Linked DNA regions of Oreochromis niloticus. Each later gene encodes a partner of the first gene's protein in a complex. Links are inferred from orthologs where the notes say so. Each region holds a gene or a part of one and is shown in the gene's direction. Other genes may lie near its edges.

The links. Proteins that work in one complex are often made in the same cells at the same time.
Region 2: tubgcp4 (region 1) and nme7 share a complex: the UniProt entries of both Homo sapiens proteins name them as parts of the gamma-tubulin ring complex. The link is inferred for Oreochromis niloticus from reciprocal best matches to the Homo sapiens genes TUBGCP4 and NME7.
Region 3: the proteins of tubgcp4 (region 1) and tubgcp3 are in contact, whole or in part, in a cryo-EM structure (PDB 7QJ0), measured with the Homo sapiens proteins. The link is inferred for Oreochromis niloticus from reciprocal best matches to the Homo sapiens genes TUBGCP4 and TUBGCP3. Residues at the interface, in NP_001273343.1 of Homo sapiens: His35, Pro36, Ser37, Glu38, Ser40, Val41, Arg44, His116, Leu117, Ser118, Ser120, His121, Tyr124, Phe125, Asp127, Gln128, Leu131, Pro134, Lys159, His160, Cys162, Gly163, Gly164, Leu165, Pro166, Arg169, Leu630, Ser631; in NP_006313.1 of Homo sapiens: Arg252, Asp253, Tyr256, Gln259, Ile261, Asp262, Lys264, Arg305, Ser312, Leu313, Arg315, Leu319, Gln322, Ser323, Cys325, Ala326, His329, Arg333, Tyr336, Arg337, Ser340, His343, Ser344, His424, Pro425, Tyr593, His595.

What each region holds. Positions count from the first base shown.
Region 1 is NC_031965.2:1,219,061-1,226,471, reverse strand, and holds the start of tubgcp4 (gamma-tubulin complex component 4), read left to right. Parts: upstream 1-4,429; coding exon 4,430-4,507; intron 4,508-7,411. Other genes in the region: cdkn2aip (CDKN2A-interacting protein), read right to left, coding at 1,514-2,103, 3,169-3,293, 3,380-3,629, 4,272-4,431. UniProt on the Homo sapiens protein: Component of the gamma-tubulin ring complex (gTuRC) which mediates microtubule nucleation.
Region 2 is NC_031986.2:33,233,058-33,240,095, reverse strand, and holds the start of nme7 (nucleoside diphosphate kinase homolog 7), read left to right. Parts: upstream 1-3,980; 5' UTR 3,981-4,267; coding exon 4,268-4,270; intron 4,271-6,491; coding exon 6,492-6,593; intron 6,594-6,794; coding exon 6,795-6,961; intron 6,962-7,038. Other genes in the region: zgc:172121 (homocysteine S-methyltransferase 1), read right to left, coding at 138-343, 426-608, 1,249-1,352, 1,431-1,588, 1,663-1,730, 3,548-3,706. UniProt on the Homo sapiens protein: Possesses an intrinsic kinase activity. Displays 3'-5' exonuclease activity with a preference for single-stranded DNA. Does not seem to have nucleoside diphosphate kinase activity.
Region 3 is NC_031986.2:12,174,934-12,181,900, reverse strand, and holds the start of tubgcp3 (gamma-tubulin complex component 3), read left to right. Parts: upstream 1-3,909; 5' UTR 3,910-4,041; coding exon 4,042-4,117; intron 4,118-5,166; coding exon 5,167-5,274; intron 5,275-6,091; coding exon 6,092-6,159; intron 6,160-6,740; coding exon 6,741-6,818; intron 6,819-6,967. Other genes in the region: atp11a (probable phospholipid-transporting ATPase IH), read right to left, coding at 2,406-2,450. UniProt on the Homo sapiens protein: Component of the gamma-tubulin ring complex (gTuRC) which mediates microtubule nucleation.

The sequences.
Region 1 (7,411 bases):
TCCAAACAAACATTCTTCATATTAACAACCAAATACTTCAAACTTTCTCTTTTTTAACATCAACTTATTTATAATAATATCAAAGAAAAGCAGTAGCATTTACAGTCAAACAGGTACTGTAGTTGGCAGAGTCTCCCTCAGTTTCTGTCTGAATAATAAAAAAAACAATCTTCAGTTAAGTCCGTGTGGACATGTTTTTGAATCACTGGGATGCCAGTTCCATGAAGAACTGGAAACCAGTAACCATGACTGTAACCAGGATTTCAGATTTAGTTTGTCTGAACTAAGACATAATCAACGCACTGTTTCTCCAAGCTAATCGAAAAATTAAGAATAATGTGATCAATTCAATAAGGTGCAGCCCTGCTCTCCTAATATGATATCACATATACTGTTACAGTGGGCGACACTCATATTAACAATAAAACCAGTGTTTAGAAAAACCAGGGAATGTGCAAGTAACACCGTGTGAGCCAAAAGCTGCCCGTTTTTCTCCTCTTGGCTCTGTGTGACATCAGCGAGAGCAGGCGTGGCTCTGTCAGACACACAGCACACTGATCATCCTGCTGTTCATGAAGGGCAGCCAATTAGAATACAGCTGGCTGAGAGGGAAAGGAGCTGAATCAGCTGGTTTCAGACAGGGGGAGGGGCTGAAACAAATAAGAATGACTGTGAATTATGTTACAGAATCTAAATATGGAGATGGGAATGAGCGTAAGAGGCCCCCCCTCTTTAAGTGCAGCTCACGACAGAATAGCAATGTCATTGCAACCCTTCACGAGTACGATTAAAGGAAAAGACTGACATTTATCACTGAAACAAGAAACAACTAAACTAAATGCAGACTGGTGCGCCACAGTCTGATGTTTTTTTAATATTCTCAGTAAGGAACAGTACATCATGTTTAGAAAAGAATCGTTACCCTGCCAGGTTATTGAAGCTGTAATTGTTGAGTCCGTGTGACTCACTTTGCTTGTACGTTGTGAGTTGGAACCTAAAAAACCAAAACCCAACTCCTACCAATCAAATAAAACCTCATGTACTCCTGTGTTACCCTCATGAAATCAGCAGATAAAAAGCTGTGACACAGGAATGAACTGAAGGGGGAACGAACTACTGGCCAAACTGCTTTTGTCATAAACAGTCACAAACAGTGTAATATTGCAGTTTTGCTCATTGGTGGCTGCTGGACTTTTAACCAGTGCCACAGGCGCTCACTCCACACACTTTGGTTCGCTGTTTGCTGTCTTTACAACTCAGATAATGGCTGAAAATATCAGGAGCAGTGGAGTGGGTTTGTTTTTTTTGCAGACTTGGGACTAGTTTTATTGTTCTGGTGATCGTGCACGCGTAAGATTATTAAGAAATGAAGGTATTGTGTGAAATGCACCATGACAGTTAATGCTCCAAGTTACCTAATATTCTCTGGGCTTAGCTACGATGGTCAGCTGCATAACAGTCTGGTCCCGACACAGGCGTGAACGCCTTCAGTAGCTCCACCCAGTCAAAGCTTCTACGATGAACTGTCTTCCAGCTGCTCGTCCTGAAAAGGGTAGCTGAGAGCAGGAGGAAAGCCCTGACTGCGGGGCTGTTCGTCCAACAGCATCAGATCATCCACGTCTTTCCCTTTGTACCTCCGCCGACAGATCTTTACAGTGACTTTCCGCCCCTGAAATACTTTAAGGGCTTCTTTGGAAGCCATGGCTCTGGCAGCGGCCTCGTCGCGCCCGTATCCTGTGCCCATGAAAACAGTCTGACAGCGAATTTCACACACGTGGCCTTCCTTCTGTGTGCGGCCCGCGGGGAGGCCCGTGATGTCCTTCAGCGGCACAAACACGCACGTCAGGGTTTGCTTGCACGACTCCACGCAGCTGCGAAGGATTTCAAAATGGTCCAAGTTGGGCCCAAAGCCCCCGGCTGACACCAGTTTCCACGCCACAGCCTTGTACAGGCGGTTGAAGAAGGGCTGGTGCTCTGCTGGAGCCTGTGGAGGTGGTCCCAGCTTCTGACTCGCAGGCCGCGCCGCCGTCCTGAGCGCAGGTCTGCTGTCGAGCTCATTAGGCCCAGCCTTGGCTCTTTTCACGCAGCTGTCATCCTCAAGCTCTGCAAAAGATGACACAGCAGGCAGGAAAACGTTGACTGCACAGGAATCTGTATTTAATGAGGAAACAGAGCCTCAGGTGTGCGTGTGTGAAAGGGAAAAAACCCTGTGCGTAGGTAATTACACTGAAACCTCACAGCAACAGAGAACAGCAGTGAAATGGATTTGTTGGTCAGTAACGAGCTACAGAAAACTGTCAAATCTATTCTTAGATTGAAGTCACATCACTTGTAAAAGCCATCCAAGGTAACCTTAACCTGTTATCATGGAGGATGAAACTAATGCAAATATTACTCTGTGTGTTCATATATGTCCGTGTTGACACGTCGGAGTGACAGGATCTCTTTTGCTTCTTAGCAAGCTTGACGAGGTTTGTGCATTATTAGCAAGCAGTGTTTGTTTTTTGCACTTAAAAACGCTGCAGCCCGTTCGTGACAGATCCTGCTCTGTGTGTGGCTTAGTCACAAACACACAACAGTCACAGCCCAGATTTAAAGTATTACAGATTTACTGCTGTTTGCATTCACAGCCGCTATCATGGATTGTTGAGTCAGGCTTGGTCGGGCTGCTCCGACTTTCTGAGTTGGAAATCTGACCTGAGGCGATGTTCCAGTGGAAAATTCAGAGTGGGAAGTCACTAATAGTATTTGAATCCAATGCAATCACAATGCACAATAGCATTTTAAGCATTGTTAACTGGGCTTTTTAAATGATATACACAATGGAAATGATTTCAACTACAGCCGGCACTTAAACGGTCCTTAAATGAAATTTATAGGAAAATCAACATGGCTGTATTATATTATCTTTGCGGGCTGTTTTTGATGATATCATCAGTACAGGTGTGTTAATGTCACCTGTCACCATTGGTTTCCTATGTATATATCACCCTGAATATTCCAGAGAAGGTAGAAGTATGAGACTACAGGCCAAACACTCAAAAATCAATTATTATGATTTTCTGTCGTTATCAAGCAGCAGCAGAAAAACCTGGACCCATTAAATAACAGGTAGTTTTCCCAAATGTAACCTGTGAAGATGAAATGTTAAACATGTGCACTGCTTACCAGCTGATGCGCTCCTCTTTCCTCTGGCTGTGAATTCATCTTTTGTTGTTTTGTGAACAGGAGGATCTTGGACTTTTATCCCTTCTCCCATCTCTTTGATCTTGTCCATTACAGCCTGTGGATAGCTGAGGGATTTAAAAGGTAACAATGAACTCTTATTATAGCGGAGAGCATCCACAGCTTGTCATTCTGCTCCATCAGCGTGTCCTACCTGCAGCCCAGGAAAACGTGATTAGCCCAGACCATGGACAAAGAGAGCAGCCTGTCCAGGCTGCTGCTGGAGACTCCTGGCTTCACTGTCGGGAAAGCCTCCATGTTCCTAAGGATGAACTCTCTCCGAGCGACCCACTGCTTGTTGCTCTCACAGTAGCTTCTGAATGTTTCCACCCATTGGGCCAGCTGCGGATTCTGGCCCAGGTACTCTGCAACCACGTCCTCTCCGCCACTCTCCCCCGCCATCCCTGCACTCAGACACGGTTTTACGGTTAGAAGAACAACAGAAAACTAGCAGCAGCTTATTTATTTGTTAGCGGTTAGCAGTGCTAGCGTGAATCATGCCACTTAAACTCAACAGGTCTGCGTTAGACGACGTAAAATGGCGGTGGCCCTACTAGTTTCAAACCGCTGGTGTTTTCCTGCTGACTTGCCTGAGAGCAGCCTAACGTTTGTTGTGTCAACTAGTAAATATACCAGAGTGGACCCAACAAACCGACTCCACGAACTAACGTTAGGACAAACGGCTAGTGGAATAACATTAGCTACAGCAGAAGACACGCTAACAGCAAAAACACAGACATAAACGAGAGTAACGGGATTGCCGTCGCTTGCACGGGAAATATAAAGTTAGTATTTTATACAGTAACTACGACATACCAAGCGCTCTCCGTTGCGATGTGCTTCAGCTAGTTACATGACCGAATGATGACGCCAGACTCGCGACGATATCTTAGTGCACAGGAAAAAAACTACAATTCCCATGAGCTGGCTTGTGTTTACGCATCTCGCAGAGCTAATTGAAACCCAAACGAAGCACGCGTGGAGTTGCTAAAGGCTCTTGTCGATTTTAAAAACAAATAACATCGCAAGCCTGACTCTTCCACTACCGTGGAGCGATGTCTCCGGCTCCTGCAGCACTCTTCCCGTGATGCTTTTCGCGCTCACGTAACAAATCTGCGACGGCTCGGGCGGCGGTTTGTTTTGGTGGCTGAATGGGAATCTCTCCGCTACAATTTGAATTTCAGACACTTTAAGTTTCATTGACATGATTCACGAGCTCTTACTGGCGCTGAGCGGATACCCGGGGACGATTTTTACATGGAACAAACGAACAGGTTTACAGGTAACACGGAAACACTGCAGTTCTCTGATACGATAACTTCACTCAGATGTTAGCTAATATGCATGTGGTTACAAGTCAAAGCTTGACAATTTATTACAATTCAATTATGCATAAGCTAAATTATTAGCTTTGGTAGCACTATATTAAAGATATGCATTTTTGCTAGGATAGCTTACTGACAATTGGCAGGTTTGAATACTGCAAGATGAAACGTCACTCACCTGCCTTTTTATTAGGTACCCCTGTTCGTTTACGCAAGTATCAGCCAATCGCATTACTGCAAATCTGTGCATTTAGGCATGTCTGTGAAGGTTCTCAGTCATTCAGGTCATCGTAGTCTAAGGATCTTGGATAGAAAAGCGTCTGGACTTAAACTTTAAGTTGCTTGAAGACGTTTCACCTCTCAGTAGAGAAGCTTCTTCAGTTCTAGGGTCAAATGGTGGAGAGTCCCAGATTTAAGCTCTTTGGGAGTAACCCCTCCAAAGAGGGACAAAAGGACCCCCTGATGATCCTCTACCTAATCACATGAGCCAAGGTGGGTCCCAATCAGCCAGGGTTTCGGGTGAGCTCATTGTGAAACCTGGCCCCACCCTATCATGTGATTTCCTGAGGTCAGATGGCCCAGGATGTGAGTGGGCGTTAAGGCGTGTGGGAAGGATCTCAAAACTGGATTATAGATGGCAGACAGTTGGTGTCGTAAACCACCGCCTCTGTTCAAAGATGGTCGCTCACAGTGGACATAAATCATCTGTCCTCGCTGTCCAAAATGTGAACATTGGCGCCTCGAAAGAGTGACCTTTGACCTTTAGATGCAGATGGACTGCTGAGTCTTGTCCCGTGGAGGTGGCTCTTCTATGTTGTGCGCTTGTGAAGTGGCTGTTTGGTCTCTCCAGTATAGAGGTCTGGGCATTCCTCACTACAATGTACAGCATACACCACATTGTTCAGTCTGTGTTTTGGAGTTTTGTCTTTGGGATGAACCAGTTTGTGTCTGAGTGTGTTGCTGGGTCTAAGGTAAACTGGGATGTTGTGCTTGGAGAAAACTCTCCTGAGTTTCTCTGATACACCGGCTACATGTTGGATGACAATGTTGTTGCGTCTGTCTTTCTTATCCTCCCTCGCTGGTGTCTGATCTTCTTTTCTGTGCCTCTTTGCTGACTTGATAAACGCCCAGTTAGGATAACCGCATGTTTTCAGTGCTTCCTTTACATGTGTGTGTTCCTTCTTTTTCCCTTCAGGCTTAGAGGGAACATGTTCTGCCCGGTGGTGTAGGGTCCTAATTACTCCAAGTTTGTGTTCCAGAGGGTGGTGGGAGTCAAAGAGGAGGTACTGGTCCGTGTGTGTGGGCTTCCAGTAAACTTCAGTGTTGAGGTTTCCATTCCCTTCAGTGCGCACGGCACGGTCACATGGAACATGGAAGTGGAAGAAGAGGCTCTTGGCTCTTTTAAAAGGAGAGCACCTAGCCACTGGTAAAGATATGTGGACAACACCTGGGTCAAAATCAAAACACAAGAAGTGGAATCCTTCACTGCTCACATCAACGCTGTGGATAAAAACATAAAGTTCACCAGGGAAGACACAAAGGATAACTGTTTGCCATTCCTGGACTGTGCTGTGCACATTGAAGAGAATGGCAACCTCAACATCGAAGTTTACTGGAAGCCCACACACACAGACCCCTCCTCGATTCAGAGATGGTCTTTCCCTTTTCATGTAAATGGCCTTGTTGACTCTGCGCTCAAACCAGCGTTCCTCCCTGTCCAGGATGTGTACATCCTCATCACTGGCCTGTAGGCGTAAATAGTCCTGGCCTGATGATCTGCCATCCTCTTCGCCAGAGGTTGTTTGGTTTCCCTGATGTATAAATCCTGGCAATCCTCCTGGTGCTTAACACGATCCCCAAAGGAGATCTGTGTTATACTGATTTTATGTTAGAAACCAGAGAAAGGCTTTTTGTGTTTTTAAGCTCTGCTCTCATTGAAATAATTACCAACATTACTTACTTCCCTTCTTCCTTTTGCTGCAACATTGTCTTTCATTGCTGTTATTTACATGTAAACTCGTCTGTTTTGTATCCATGTGTTTGGTGCTTTTTGCAGTTAAAATTTACAAGTGGGTGAATGGGTGTGGTATTTTTTCAAAAGGTCTATTCAAATGAATATTCCAGCTGTAAGCAGGACAGTGTGTGGGAGCGCCATTTGATTTGATTTGATGTCTTTTATGAAAGGCAAAGAAGGAACATCTTGTACACATCTCATTCTGTGTGTTTAGAAAACAGATGTGTTCTAATAAAAGTGTGAGATGGAGAGTGTGCCTGTTGTGTGTCAGAGCTAAGCTGACATAACTCTGTCTTTCTTTTATGGTGTAAGCAGTTATAAAAGTGTAATACAGACAAATGTCTTGACTATATTTAAATAGAAGTATCAGAAAAAATGTTAGCAGTCTTTGTTTTACAGCTTCATATATAGATGTCCTAATACATGCTCAATCATCCAGGTAAGTAAATCTCCAAAAGTTGATTCTGTTCATCTGGACGTAGCGGTGAATGGTACTCATGGCAATTGATCAGTGGTTGTTGATCAATGGTCATGAGAATTTGCATAATCATGATGAAGGTGACCTCCCAGCCCATTGTTCCTTCAGTGGGCTGGTTTCAGTCATTATGCAAATGTACTGTTTATAAGATTGGGGAAACCTGCAGTCAGCTGAGACTGAAGACGTCACCTGGATGAGTGACGAAACGTTTCTTCCACTGAAAACGTCCAGATGAACAGAATCAGCTTTTGGAGAATCATATGGTAGTGAGTTGTGGCTGAAATATTCAGTGTATAATTCATTTATTAGGCAAGTTTCAAAGATAATCATTAGGGGTAACAACTGCTCCCAGTCACAGTGTTCACAGTG
Region 2 (7,038 bases), on another chromosome or scaffold:
AAAGATATTTAGCAGATTTTCTTTTTTCTCTGTAAGGAATCAAGTTTTTATGGTAGATTTATGTTGTATTTACCGAATGTAAACACGTTGATGTGAGGTGTTTAGACAGTCGTGTGTTAATTTAGCTTCAGACTCACCCCCGCTCAGTGTCCCACTCCTCTCCGCTGTTAGGGTACACCACCCAGCTCATGTCTGAGGTGTGCAGTGGTCCAGCAGAGTCCAGCAGCGGCTCCACCACGTCTGGAGGACAGCAGTTGACTCCCACAGCGAGCAGCTGCCTGGATCTGCTGGCAACCCGCACGGCGTCAGCGAACAGGCTGCCGTCCGATATACACTTCTGGTCCTGATGGCGAGGTGAGTCATTGCGTGACTAACAACAAACTAATATGTATCTTTCACCATTGCTGTTCACCGGCAGTGATTACCTTACAGGAGAATGACAGCCAGGCTTTCGAGTTTGGAAACTCCCTCAGCAGCTCCACCACAGCCTCCGCCTCTTTGATGCTCGGGATTGTCTCAAAGGCGATGAGATCAGCTCCTGCAGCTGCTAAGCAGTCAATCTGAGGCCGGTGCCAAACTTTAAGCTCCTTCAAATAGATTAAAGACACCTGAGAACATTTATTCTCACCTGTCTCAGCAGTAAATGGATCTATAAACTTACTGAGAACAACATCAGAAGGATCAGGCAACATAAATAATCAAATCTGACCCCCTCGGATTCAGAATCGTGCAAAACGTTCCCTTCATACTGTGAATATTTTCAGTTTAAGGCACTCAAAGTACAATATAGGTAAAAAAGAAGTCCTTTCATATGCTTTTACATGGTAATATGAGCTGAACGTTTACCCAGAATGCACGTTTTAAAATATTCTCCAGTGGATTATCCAAAAATATGTAAAACATCCAGGGTACCTATGCTGGTTTTTGTTCCCCTGCATCAGAGATGTTAAACTGCTGCAGTTTTGCTGCTAATTATTAGTTTACAAAGCTTAAATGTTGATCTCTGTTGTACTCAAAATGCTTTAATTTTTTTTGTAACTCTGAAAATAGCAATAGTATTAAGGTAAAAAGTGTCATAGTGTCATTAAATATACTGAAGTTATTGTCCCAAAAAAGGAGGTACTTAATGATTTTTCATGGAACAAACCTAAAATATAAACAGAACCAGAACCGGAGATATAAACAACTATTCTGGGTAATCTTCTCAAAGCAGGCATAAAGTCCAGTACGTGGCTGAGGGGTACTTACTTCAACACTCATCTGCTCTGCGTAAGCTCCAGTGTACTCCGAGCCATCGTGCAGAAAGGCCCCGTACGGCCCCACAGAGCCTGCCACCAGGGGGCGTCTCTGCCCTTTACAGAGAAATAAAATGTGAGATTATATCACAGTTTACAGCCAGAGTCGGCTCAGCTCAGCGTAAGCTCTCCTACCTGACTCAAACCCCTTCACCGTCTCTTTGGCCAGGTGAACTCCGGACATCAGCAGCTCTCTGGCGCGTTCAGCGCTCACCTCCAGGTGGCTGATGAATCCTGGGATACTTGCCTGGTATGTGGCTGTCGTGATGACATCAGCACCACTGAGCAGGAACCTGTTCACACACACACACAGATTTAAGACTCTGAAACTAGAAAGTTTATTTACCAACACTTTGCATGGACACACCTGTAATGAGCATCTCTTATGGCCTGAGGATCAGTGTGCAAAAGCCTGGCGCTCCACAGAGGGTCTCCCTGCATATGTAACACACACACACATGAATTTCAGTCCAGATTCACAGAACAATATTAATAAAACATGTTATAATTGATCTGTAAAGACCAGATAAAAATACTATTCACGTTTTTACGTACTTTACATAAATAAAAACACAAGTTTTGGTAACATTTATTGGATATTTTACTCATGTCCCTATAGATCATGTACTAGAAAGTAACATTACAGCATCTCAACCTTCAGAGTTATTATAGTTTTATATTTTCTAATTAGTTTTTATTTGTATTTCATTTTGACGTTGTTTTGAAGTCCGTTCAGTTTTTTTGTTTGAAAATATTTACATTTTATTTCATTTTTATTAGTTTCAGTGTTTTAGTTTTAATCTTTTTAGTTTTTGTAATTATTATCTTTTACATTATAGGGAGGGAATGTGTCAAGAGGCCAGATTTGGGAAATTCAGTAAAGATATTACAATAAAAACATAAAAGCTGTGAAAATCAAGTGACTCACAGTCACAGACAGGCTGTGAGAACAGGGCCAGAGGATATATTCAGGTCATTTAACCATCTCTCTGAAAATAAATACAAAACCTTGCAGGTATTTTCTTCTGCAAAGATACAGAGTATACTCAGATCACTGATGGACCTTTGATGCTCAGGTTTGACTGACTCGCTAAAGTTCAGCAGGCTGTGATTCTAAGTAGGGAATAGCTGCAGTCTACCTCCCAGGTGAAGCATTGTGAGCAACTAACAAGTCCCAAGTCGCACAAGTTTCACCAGCACGTATGAAAGGAAATGCAGGTGTGGTGACGACTGGAAGCTTCTGGGGTGGAGTGGACAGAGTTTTTCTAACTTCACAAACAGATGTGCCGTAGACAAAGAAACTTAATGTAAGAAGAAAAAAAACTTCTGTTTTGTTTTGTGCACTTTTGAATCTCTTTAGGATTCAGTGGGTTGGACTTCTCAGGGCCACATATGCTCCCATCCAGGTGACGTCTTTTTCGGGGAAGGCCTTGCGTATTTCAGCAGGGGGATGGGAAACAGCATACTTCATCAAATCTGAGTCTGGGGGCTGAACTGCAGGCCTGTAGTCCAGACCTTTCATCAAGCAAAGCGTCTGGAGCATCATGAAACCAAAAACACAACAAAGCAGATTCAGGACTGCTGAGCAGCTAGAATCCTGTATCAGACCAGAACGGGATGACATTCCTCTCCTGATAAGTCCAGCAGCTGCTCTCCTCAGTTCCCAGACACATGGCCTCGTCCCACCCTTTTTTTTATAGATATGTTGCTGCCATCAACTTCAAAATAACCTTGTTGTTAATGTTTTTTTTCTTAAAATGGTACTCAGTTTTCTGTGTTCTATTTTGAATAAGATATGGGCTCATGATTTGCAGTCATTTCACTATGTTTTTATTTACATCTTACACACTGTTCTGTAGACTGTTGCTTTAATGCTTGTATTTAAATTTAACCCTAATAATCCTAACTTCAAATGTTATTTTATTTTATTGAACATTCTCTTTATTCAGAGTATTTGGCTACATGTTTTTATGTTTAAAACTTTAAATATACAGAAATTAAACACTAAACAGACTTTTCACATATTTAGTTTGTTGGGATCTGATAAGCCTGGCTAAGGTCTCTGAACCACAGCTTTAAAATTACTTTTAAATTACTTGTATAAGTCAGTAACACAACTACAAAACAAATAGCACAGCCACCATGGAGACATGGATTGACTGAAAATAGACACAAAACATCTCCAGAGAGAAATTAAATTAGTCTAATCAATAGAAAATGGTGACCTGTTGCAGGTTGTTTTTATGATTTACCTGCAGTTTGGCTCCATGCGCTTCCAGATCAGTTGCCAGTCCACCATCTAGGATCAATGGCCCTTCATCATTAACCATCTGTGTGAGAAGAGCAGAGGAGCCCATGGAGCAACACTTCATTAAAAAATTTACTGGAGAATTCTTTGCACTGCTTTTCATAAGAAGATCATGCAGTCAAGTTATTAACGCTGACTGCTCTGAAATAACACCCCCGGGCAGCTTAATTATTCACACAGATGAGAGTGAAGTGCAACATCAGATCCTTCATTTTTCACTATGTTGTTCTTCCGGGTAACAGTGCAATGAAAAGGTGCGTTTATGGCCGCTGAAAACTGAACTTCTTCGCAGCATCAGCAGACCGCCACTAGGTGTCCTCATACACAATAAATGCACAGTGTATTTCACCAGAACCCGACTCTTGCCTCGCTCCTTTACTTTAAAAACCACCACTGGAGCAAGACAGCGCAGCTTTTCTTTTGTACTGCTTTATAATTATCATGTATACAGTTTAATTAATGATATCCATCCAATGATTTATGACTAATATATTACATTTTAAGGTCTGTATAAAAACAAATAACAAAAACTGTGCTGAAAGGTCAGAATTCCCATGAACACGTGAATGCACCTCTGCAGTTACTATAGAAACGAAGTACGGCTAATGTTTGCTAGCTGACAACAGTGCGCTGTCACACAGAGTTTACAGGGATGTTTTAAAAGATGGTGAGTAAAGGTTCCCTCCTGTCATCAAACCGGGGGGCGTGAGGGCTTCGGTGAAGGTAAAAACTTCCGTTAGAGCCTGAAACAGGTTGCTGTTTGCTACCGTTAGCATAATAAACACAAGCTAGCCGAGCAGTTCTAAACATCAGTGCTTCAGGCTAACGGGTTAGCCGTTAGCTCCTTTAAAAATATCATTTATGGCTTATACACAGTTTAACTACAGATACTACAGGTAGCTGTGTGGTTAACGTCTAACGGTGAACATTAGCTGTGATTAAATTAGCTAAAGGTGTAGCTGAGCAGGTGCTTTTAATGCTGGTAAACCTGGCATCAAACATGTTTCTGCTCAAAGAGTTTCTATCCATTCAGCTGGTGCCCATGTTTTCTGTTTATTCTATTAACTAGGCTGAGTGGAGGAGATGGTCTGAGCTTTTAGTTGTGAGAGACATCCTCATCTTTCACATGGTGTGTTAGACGACTGATTAATGCTAAACTGCAGACTGGTTAATCAATCAATCAAATTATATTTGTGTAGCACCTGTAGGAGGTGGGTCCAGATACTTTACAGAAAACAAAATGCAATGAAACAGAATATGAGAGGAAGAAAATTATGAGCATGTTAAAAATAACTGAAAACATAAAACATTACAAAGTAAATAGCCTGAAGTGCAATAAGACTGTTGGTATTTTAAGAGCTAATCGAAGAAATAGGAGATATAGAGTGGCTTAAAAGAGGGGGAGGAGGGCAGTCATTTACTATGAAAAAATAACCCATTTTGAATTCTTCTTAATTAATCAGACTAACAGCACCAAAACACTGTTACTGATTTATTTGTCCTTGAAGAAATTGTATTCATTCATCCTACTTTTTACTGCCTCTGTGCCTTTCCAGTGGTGCCATCCCACATTGATGGAGCACTGCTTTGAATATACAGACTCAGAAAAGTAATAGTAGATTTAGCACTGATGTTTTGCTTGTTCGGGATAAGACCCGGATCATCGCCAGGCTTCATGAAGCAGTGGTGCAAGAGATAGGGAGCGTTTTCTTTGCAAAACCAATTGGATTAATGATGAGCAGTAGACCAGGAAACACCTTCAGCAAATCATCCTTTAAACATGATAACATTGGCCTGGTGGTGATTAGGACAATCACTGCAGCGAAATAGTCTGTGAAATCACTTCCTGTGTCTTCCTAGCTGCTTAATCTTGATAGGAAACGGCATGAGGAAGATAAGGAGTGTGGAAACACGAACTTCAATGTCCTAAAGATGGATTTTTTTTATTATTATTAGTCCTTTATTTATTCAGGTAAAAATCTCATTGAGATTTAAAATCTCATTTCCAAGAGAGACCTGGCAGAATGATGAATGCAATGCATGGATGAATGCAATGATTTGCAAATCTCATGAGCCCATATTTTATTCGCTGTAGAAAACCCAAAAAATGATCTTCTCTGTGGTATATTTGGTTTTGTGATGCTCCAAATGTTTTCGTTTGGTGAAAGGTCTGATCTGCAGGAAGTGACCTGCAAACCAAATCCAGGCTTGTGTTGCTCAGTGGCAACAGTGCTAACCGATCGTTATCCGTGTTTACTGAATTATTTTTGGTTGACAAGGTGAACTGAATAAAGTCTGCTACTAGTCAGGTGAGCATACCTGATCATATTGAGTCATAACATTTCTGTGCTTAATAATAACAGAAGCCTTTGGTTTGTAAAAAGCCAGATTCTGTAAATATTGACCACCTTATGTACTGCATTCATTTTCTGTTAATAAACACATTTGTGGAAATGTACCAAAATGTAAAAATAAACCTGAGCTGTGTGGATTCGTGCCTCCCAGTTTACATCTGTGAGGTTTGCATATTCACCTGAACATTGGCCTGTGGTTTCAGGCGACATGGTGACCTTTTAAAAGCTCAGTATGTTTAATTTGTTGGCACAAATTCAGGGTTTTCCTGGCTCAAACTGGGCCTTTGGGGTTGAAAAAACACACATGATTTGTCCTCATAAGTGAGTTAGTTTCAGTTTTTTGAAATAAATTGTCAATTTTGTGTTATTTTTGATCATTTTATAATGAGAAATGTCTAATATGCTGGAGGAAATTAATCATGTGGGTGAAAAAAGAATCAGTTGATTTTCTTTTGGCTTTTTTGGGGTTGCCAGAAATTCTCCTTTGCAGAAAGAAGCTTAATATCGAAGTTATATTTATTTATTTATTTTCAGGAGGACCGGTTTGCCTTTCTTACAGAGTGGTATGACCCCACCTCCGCCCTCCTGCGGCGTTATCAACTGTTTTACTACCCCAGAGATGGCTCAGTAGAAATGGTACGCTTTTACCCCAGTGCTTACTTTTTGTCTCTCTTTTTTCTGCCTGAAGGTGTGTTTATGAATGTTCTTTTTTTAATCCAGAATATGAATACCTTGTAATGGAAATTGTAAATAGCTTATTTGTTTTAATTAACTCTATATTGATGAAAATTTCAGATTTTTTCTTTAGCATTTCTGAAAAATATACCTGTTTCACAGTTCGATGTAAAGAACCAGCGGATATTTCTGAGAAGGACCAGATACGATGACATCCATCAGGAGGACTTATTTATTGGGAATCGAGTGAACGTGTTCTCACGACAGCTACATCTGATCGATTACGGGGATCAGTACACAGCAAACAAACTCGGCAGTAAAAAAGAAAGGTATGATCATTCATCTAACTTGCATTTGGGGGTGTGTCTACCCATGTAGACATGATTGATCTATTTGGAAAGTTATG
Region 3 (6,967 bases), on another chromosome or scaffold:
AACATCATTTAGCCTTTACCTAATCTGAGGCAGCAGCGACTGAAGAAACTGATTTTACCACCACGATCCACACCCTATAGCAGAGCAAAAGGTAACAAACAGGTACAAAGCAAACCTAGTTAAACCTGTTTAGTTCATTTGTACTTTCCCTCTGCAAGCCTGTAACATAACACAGAAAGTTTTGGCACAATCGCAATAATAGAATGTACTGTGACTTCTACTGACATCGCACAAGACCGATGGCACAGCTTTTTAAACACAAGGCGGTAGATTATCCACAGTACAGATATATTTTTCATCATGCGTCCACTCTAAACGTTCCTCACACCACCTCATTTAAAGAAACAATGAGCCTTGACACAATATTTACTTTTTTTTAGAACAAAAATGCACTGTAGGTAACCCAATACTGTCAGTTGCATTCTGTTTGCACAAAAACATTGATTTATTTATAGAGTGAATAACTAAAATTTCAGTACATGCACACTGGGCCTTTTAATGTTTCTGTGTGAAGCATCATAATTAACAAATTCACACAACCTCAATTCTGATCTTTGGCTGCTTTTTTAAAATGTTTACCGCACGTGTTGGCATGTTAATAGAAACACACACTAACATTTAATGATGAAAACTCTCTCATAGTTCAGTTCAGTTTATTGTTGAGCTATTGTGAAATCACAGGGATCCTTTATCAGACTGTAAAATCTGTCATGGTTGTTACGTCTATTTGTGAAACAAATCTCAACATGCCCAAAGCCATGAGACTCAAAGGGGACTGGTTTCTGAATTACAGCCACAAACGAGTCTATACATGAAATAATTAGAAAACTCAGAAGATGTGTACATGACTAAGATACCAGGCATATAATTACTGTGTGTACATCTCATTAGAAACACCTGAAAATTAAACCAATTATCATATTTAAATACTCTACAAACATTTGTTATTAGTATGTTTTTAGCAGCCTGTTCGTACCACAGGCTCTTTACATCATAGCAGAAATGGTATAAAGCCTGAATTTACATTTAGCTTCACTTTACAGATGTGGTCACAGGGAGAATCCTTCTTCTGACAAACAGATGAATGTTCCCGACCCTGATCTTAAGTATTCAGCAGCCTCTTTCCATCACAGCAGCAATGCAATCAATTTAGCCCTAACCCATTTACCTAAAGCATTTATCCAGACCAATTACAGCAGCAGACCTCATCAGCATCCCACATCCTACACCAGTCACCGGCTTCTCTCTTCATGCTTCTAGCTACATGGCTCCATTTCACCCTCCACACAGCAGGGAATTGTATTTAATCAGCTATTTGCAACAGTTGGGAGGCAGTGCCTAAGCTTCAGCTGAGCACGGAGCTGGGGTATAAACCTCACTGGCTCTCATGTGAGCAGGGCTCGCACTGTCTGGATTATTGTCAAGCACATTACTGCCGAGCCTAATGTAACCCATATAGATGCTGCCCATCGATTTGACTAGCAGGGAGAAAACAACTGGATTACATAATTCATGTTCCATTTTGTTCTACTGGGAGGTAGCATAATAAATGAGACTGAGTGGCAACGATGACATGAATGATAATAGGTGCCTGTCTGCATTTCTTGGCATGTTCTGTCATGAGCAGATAGGTAATCACCCACCCCCCACTTACCGATACTGTGAGGTGACTCAACCTTTCATTCATTCAAATCACACCGTGTTTGTTGTTTAAAGTTGTCTGAACAGTATCTGCGAGAGTACTTGGAACAATTTTGTAGATACCAAATAATATCTCTCTCTCATTTCGACATATGTATATATATACATATATATATATGTATATATATATTTTTTTTTAAATGTTTTTCAGGACTAACAGATATGTGAAGAGCTTATTATTTAACACATGCTTCAAAATAAATAGCTGATATATATTTAAAGAATATCAGTGAAAGGTGCATTTTACATGTGCTTTCACTCTTTCAGAATTAAGTGGGGAAAGATCAGAGTAGTGGGGATCTAGTGTCATTTGTGGAGCAATGAACTTTAAAAAAAGTAACTTAAAACTGCCGAAATGTCATTGTTGAAGTCGAAATAAAGGGAAATGGGGAAAGAAAAAGTTAAAAATATATAAGTTGATAAAGGTTAATTAGTCACACGATTTTTTAAGTGTCGGTCAGTTTCCCAACCACTCCTCATTGAATTGCTTTCCACTCCCTTTATTGAAACCTAATCCTCTGAGAGCCGCTTCCTTGGAATTTAAACCAACAGTTATAACAAAAAAAGTTCACAGGTCTGATTTAAAATGGAAATAGCTTTGGTTTGTAGGCAACTAGTCCCACATGTTAATGTGAACATAAGTGTATTTAATTTAAAAAAAAAAAAAAAAAAAAAAAAAAAGGAAAAAGGAAAAACAAACTTACGTATCGGCTGATAAGAGTACGCAGAGTGCTGAAATCCATCCCCATTCTGTTCCTCTTCCCTCTCCGGACACTTCTTCTGCTCTCTGTCTTTTTCTCCTCCAAAGGTTATTTTTACTGCGGGCGCTAGCTTCTTTTTAATTCTACTCCTCTGTCCATGACTTTCTCTTCTCCCCCTTCTTCTTCTTCTGAATTGGAATAAAAAGGACTCGCTTCCAAACTCACCTACGGACCCCGTGACGGGCTTTAAACGGGGGTAGTGACTGTCTGTGCGTCTTCTCCTACAGTTTGAAGGCAATTCACACGGGTACCGAGCAGCTCCTCCTAAAGACTAGAAGCCAAACTAATATCCAGCTCTCTCGCGCTCCCTCTCTCTCTCCCCCCTCTGCGCGTGTACTAATAATCTTCTTGTCTCGCGCCGCGGCCAAAGGAGATTTTCTTTCATGTACGTCACGCGGAGCCAGGTGGTGGCTTTGGAACCGGGGGTGAAGGCATGCGCGCTCTAGTGTTTGTGAAGAGTAATTATTGATTGGGTGTCTCAGTTAACTGTGGGATATTTAGGGGATTTTTTCAGGCGCCGCAGAATTAAATTTAACTTAAAATAAAATAAAACAAAACAGCCCGGTGCTGTCCATAGATATGGTGCTGAAACCATTACATAAAATGTCAAAAATACACATAACTTTCAGCATAAGACTCATCTCATTTATTTATTTATTTAGTTGTTTGTTTATTACTTGGGTTAACTAAAGTTTCGTGATACAACTAATAACTCATTTGAAAGGCAAAATTTCTATTCATTTGCATCTCAAATCTCACCCACTTTTTCAAGCTCGGTTTAAAATGAGAAGAGATTTTCATAATATTTTAGAATCATTATTACAAGTTATTACTGCTGTCGTGACGCATCGGTTTGTAACAGGCAGGTCAGCGGGGTCAGAACAAAATAATTCATGGCACCACGTTTCAGGAGGGAAATATTTTCATCCACTTGTCCGCGCCCTGTTTCCTGGAGACGCTTTTCGGCGGGTTCTGTTGAAAGTCCGCCGTAAAAATAGAAATAATAACAACGGTTTCCTGTTAGAACCTTCAAAATAAAACCTACGTGATGGATTTTGGTTTGAACTGTAACAACTTTATTAATGATATGTCATAAATAGGCTTTTAGTTATTTTGCTATTTCTGCCATTCATTATTTATTTATTAATGGGACTGGTAGATAATTAAACATCCGGCATACATGTTGCACCTTTGGCCTTACTTACCAGTCAAAAGGGGTTTTTTACATTACAAGTTCCCCTTACATATTAATTTATCTGGTTATCTTGTCTTCCTTGTCTTTCTTGACACAGTATGTATTATCGTCTTGTTATTTTTTTGCGCAACAGTGCTTCTAATTTTGATTTGTACATTATTAATTAGCCTTCGTTAGTGTTGTGCAAGTTTTTAACGAAATAGGTAAGAAACTTTGTGCTTTTATTTTGAAGGCAAATGGCGCTGGTCGTTGGCAAATTCTTCCTAGCTTGCCTGAAGTTGTCAAAATGGCGTTGCTCGTAGCGGGGGATTGGAGTTAGTTCATATTATTCAGTCACATTTATTCATTTATTGGGGAACACACTGCCCATTTGCCACGGACAGCATGGCAACCCTGGATCAGAAATCTCCAAACGTCCTTCTCCAAAGCCTCTGCTGCAGAATCACGGGGAAGAGCGAAGGTACATCCATTACTGCTAGCAAGCTTCGCGCTACTGCACTACTGTAGTAGTCAGGAATTGCCAAACCTAACCTCATTCAAAAAATCAATTTTTTGTTGTTTCGCGTCCTTTTATTAATCATACATGAGTCACACGAAGCAGTATGTGAGTGTTGAACTTCCAGTGGCAAATTCGGCATTAATATTTCACATTAGACCGCTCTGATTCTTCTGTTTATTAAACGTTTTAAGCAGCGGGCGCCGACTCACCCGGTTTGTTTTGCAGACTGAATATTGTAGAAAACGGTTGAAGTTTTACTTAAATAACTGCTGCTCAGTCTTTCGGGCAACTGCCGAATTGAAGATATGATTTTATTAATTTCTTAAGGCCTTCAGGAGTCAACATGTCACTATAATGTCAAATTTAAATTTATATTGAGATAAAATATATTGATTTCTTTTTATGTGGCTATCGCTTTAGCTGTGTTGAAAAACGGCACGTAGCGGGGGCTCGGTTCGCGTGTCTGTCAGCCAATTGGCTTGGCCAGATGCTGCACATCCAGCTGAACAGCTTCACGGTGCTTCCACGAGTCGCTGTCGTACACCGTTACTTTTGCTCAAATAAAGTGCCTTTCTCGGTTATCTGTGAGATTGCTAGCCACTTAGCTCTGATTCTAATCTGTGTGGTAAATTGGATGCAGTTGCCTGGCTAGCTGTAGGCCCCTGTTGTAGATAGAGACAGAAGCCGTGTTTTTTTTAGTCACTTTTGATTAAAGGCCCAAAACCTTTGCAGTTGGCAATTGCAATGAAAAATAGCTTTTAAAATCTGTATCCAAAGTGTTAGTAACTGTCCCATCATGCATTATCCTTATTAAAGTAATGGCAAATCTGCACTCTCCTGGTCTGTAGGTTCATTTTGTTATATCCTGCTTGTGCTTTTGGAAAAGAAGTAAAACATTATAAGTAAAGTAATGATGTAACAGGGGGAAAAAAAATCCCCCAGTCAACACACTGTCATTTGTACATTCCTTCAAGCTGTTAGTCATGTCTTGATATTTGTTTTTTTTCCAGCTGAAGTTGCCCACCAGTTCCAGTACGCAGTACGAGTCATTGGCAGTAACTATGCTCCCACTATTGAACGAGATGAGTTCCTAGTGTCAGAGAAGATCAAGAAAGAGTGTGAGTGGCATTTGGATTGATGCTTTCCTCCCTCCCTCTGTGAAAGTAAATCCATTATAATCCACCGTATATTACTTCATTTAGTCATTGTGACATCTGATCCCCTTATGTCAGAATGCCAGCTTTAATACATGTGCTGGAAAATCTTTATTCCACCATACTACAGAATCCTATTTGACTTAAATGGGAGCAAGGTCACACCATTAGTGGGAAAACATTGATCCAAGCTTTGCTGCAGACTGTAAAACCAAAATAGCACAGCACTTACTGTACAGCATTTATTTATCCCAGGTGGACTTATCACAACAAGTTTTTGCTTAGTCTGTGTGTTTTTTAATTGCAACATTGCCACAAAAGCAATAACTGGATATTTTATATTGGTTAATGATGTGAAACAGTCAGACATTTAAATGAGATTAATTTGAGTGAGTTTAGCATATGAAATAATGTATTCTAGTAACTACTAACGAAATAGCATTTGTCCTGCAGCTCTAAATGCCAGCAGTGACGGGGTGTACCAGAGCTGGAGGGCTGGTTGTCAATATGAGGGCAGTTATAAATACAAACACAGTAACTTTGGGCTTTCAGAAGGGCTCTGCAGTCTGCTGGCTTTCTTTTTGAACTTCCACAATACATTTCCTACTTTTCTTTGTCTTGGTCTGCAGTTTGAAACAATATCCTGTCTGTGGAAAGTTTCTTTCTGTTATTTAAAAACCTGTTTGGCACAGGAGCATTTCCAGCTCTGTTCATTTGTTAAATGAGCCATTCATGGAGGGAGACACGACACCTAACACAATCGGTCTTAATGCTCTTGCAGTGCTGAAGCAGCGGAGAGAAGCGGATGCAGCTCTGTTCTCGGAGCTGCACAGGAAACTTCAGACACAGGTTGGTATTTGGATTTCTCTCTGAAAGGTATTATTAACCACAGAGGTATTAAAGCTTTAATGGAACAATTTCCCACTTGACTCATGATACAGCCTGCTTGCATAAAACAGAGGCCTGTTTAATTTGGTTCAGAGTAAGCCTCTGAAGGGCTGATAACACAGTACTGGTCATTAATTGTATGTTAATTAATTTATTTATTAATATGTCTCACCAGACGCCACAGTCACCCCTCCAGATAATAATACTGTTTTGTTTATTAAATGAAAGAGTCTTCCAAAGCATGCTTTTTGTCCTGTCTCACTCCCCTCACCCCTACTCGATCATGGCAGATGGCCGCTCCTCCCTGAGCCTGGTTCTGCTGGAGGTTTCTTCCTGTTAAAAGGGAGTTTTTCCTTCCCACTTTCACCTAGTGCTTGGCCATAAGGGGTTGTCTGATTGTTGGGGTTTTCTCTGTATTGATTTAGGGTCTTTACCTTAAAACGCTTTGAGGTGACTGTTGTTGTGATTTGGCGCTATGTAAATGAAATCGAATTGAACTGATTTGAAGGTGGTATTTTTTTATTCTGTTTTCCTGTTTGCAGGGTGTTCTAAAGCATCGCTGGTCGGTTCTCTACTTGTTGCTTAGCCTTTCTGAAGACCCCCGCAAACCATCCAGCAGGGTGAGGAACACACACACACTTAAAAACTCTTAAAAGCTTTTAGAATAGAGTAACTTTGCATGAATCAGAGTTAAAAGTCATTCTTATATATCTTACACTGGCCCTCACCCCAGGTGAGGTTTCATCAGATTGGCTACCCCTTTACAAAC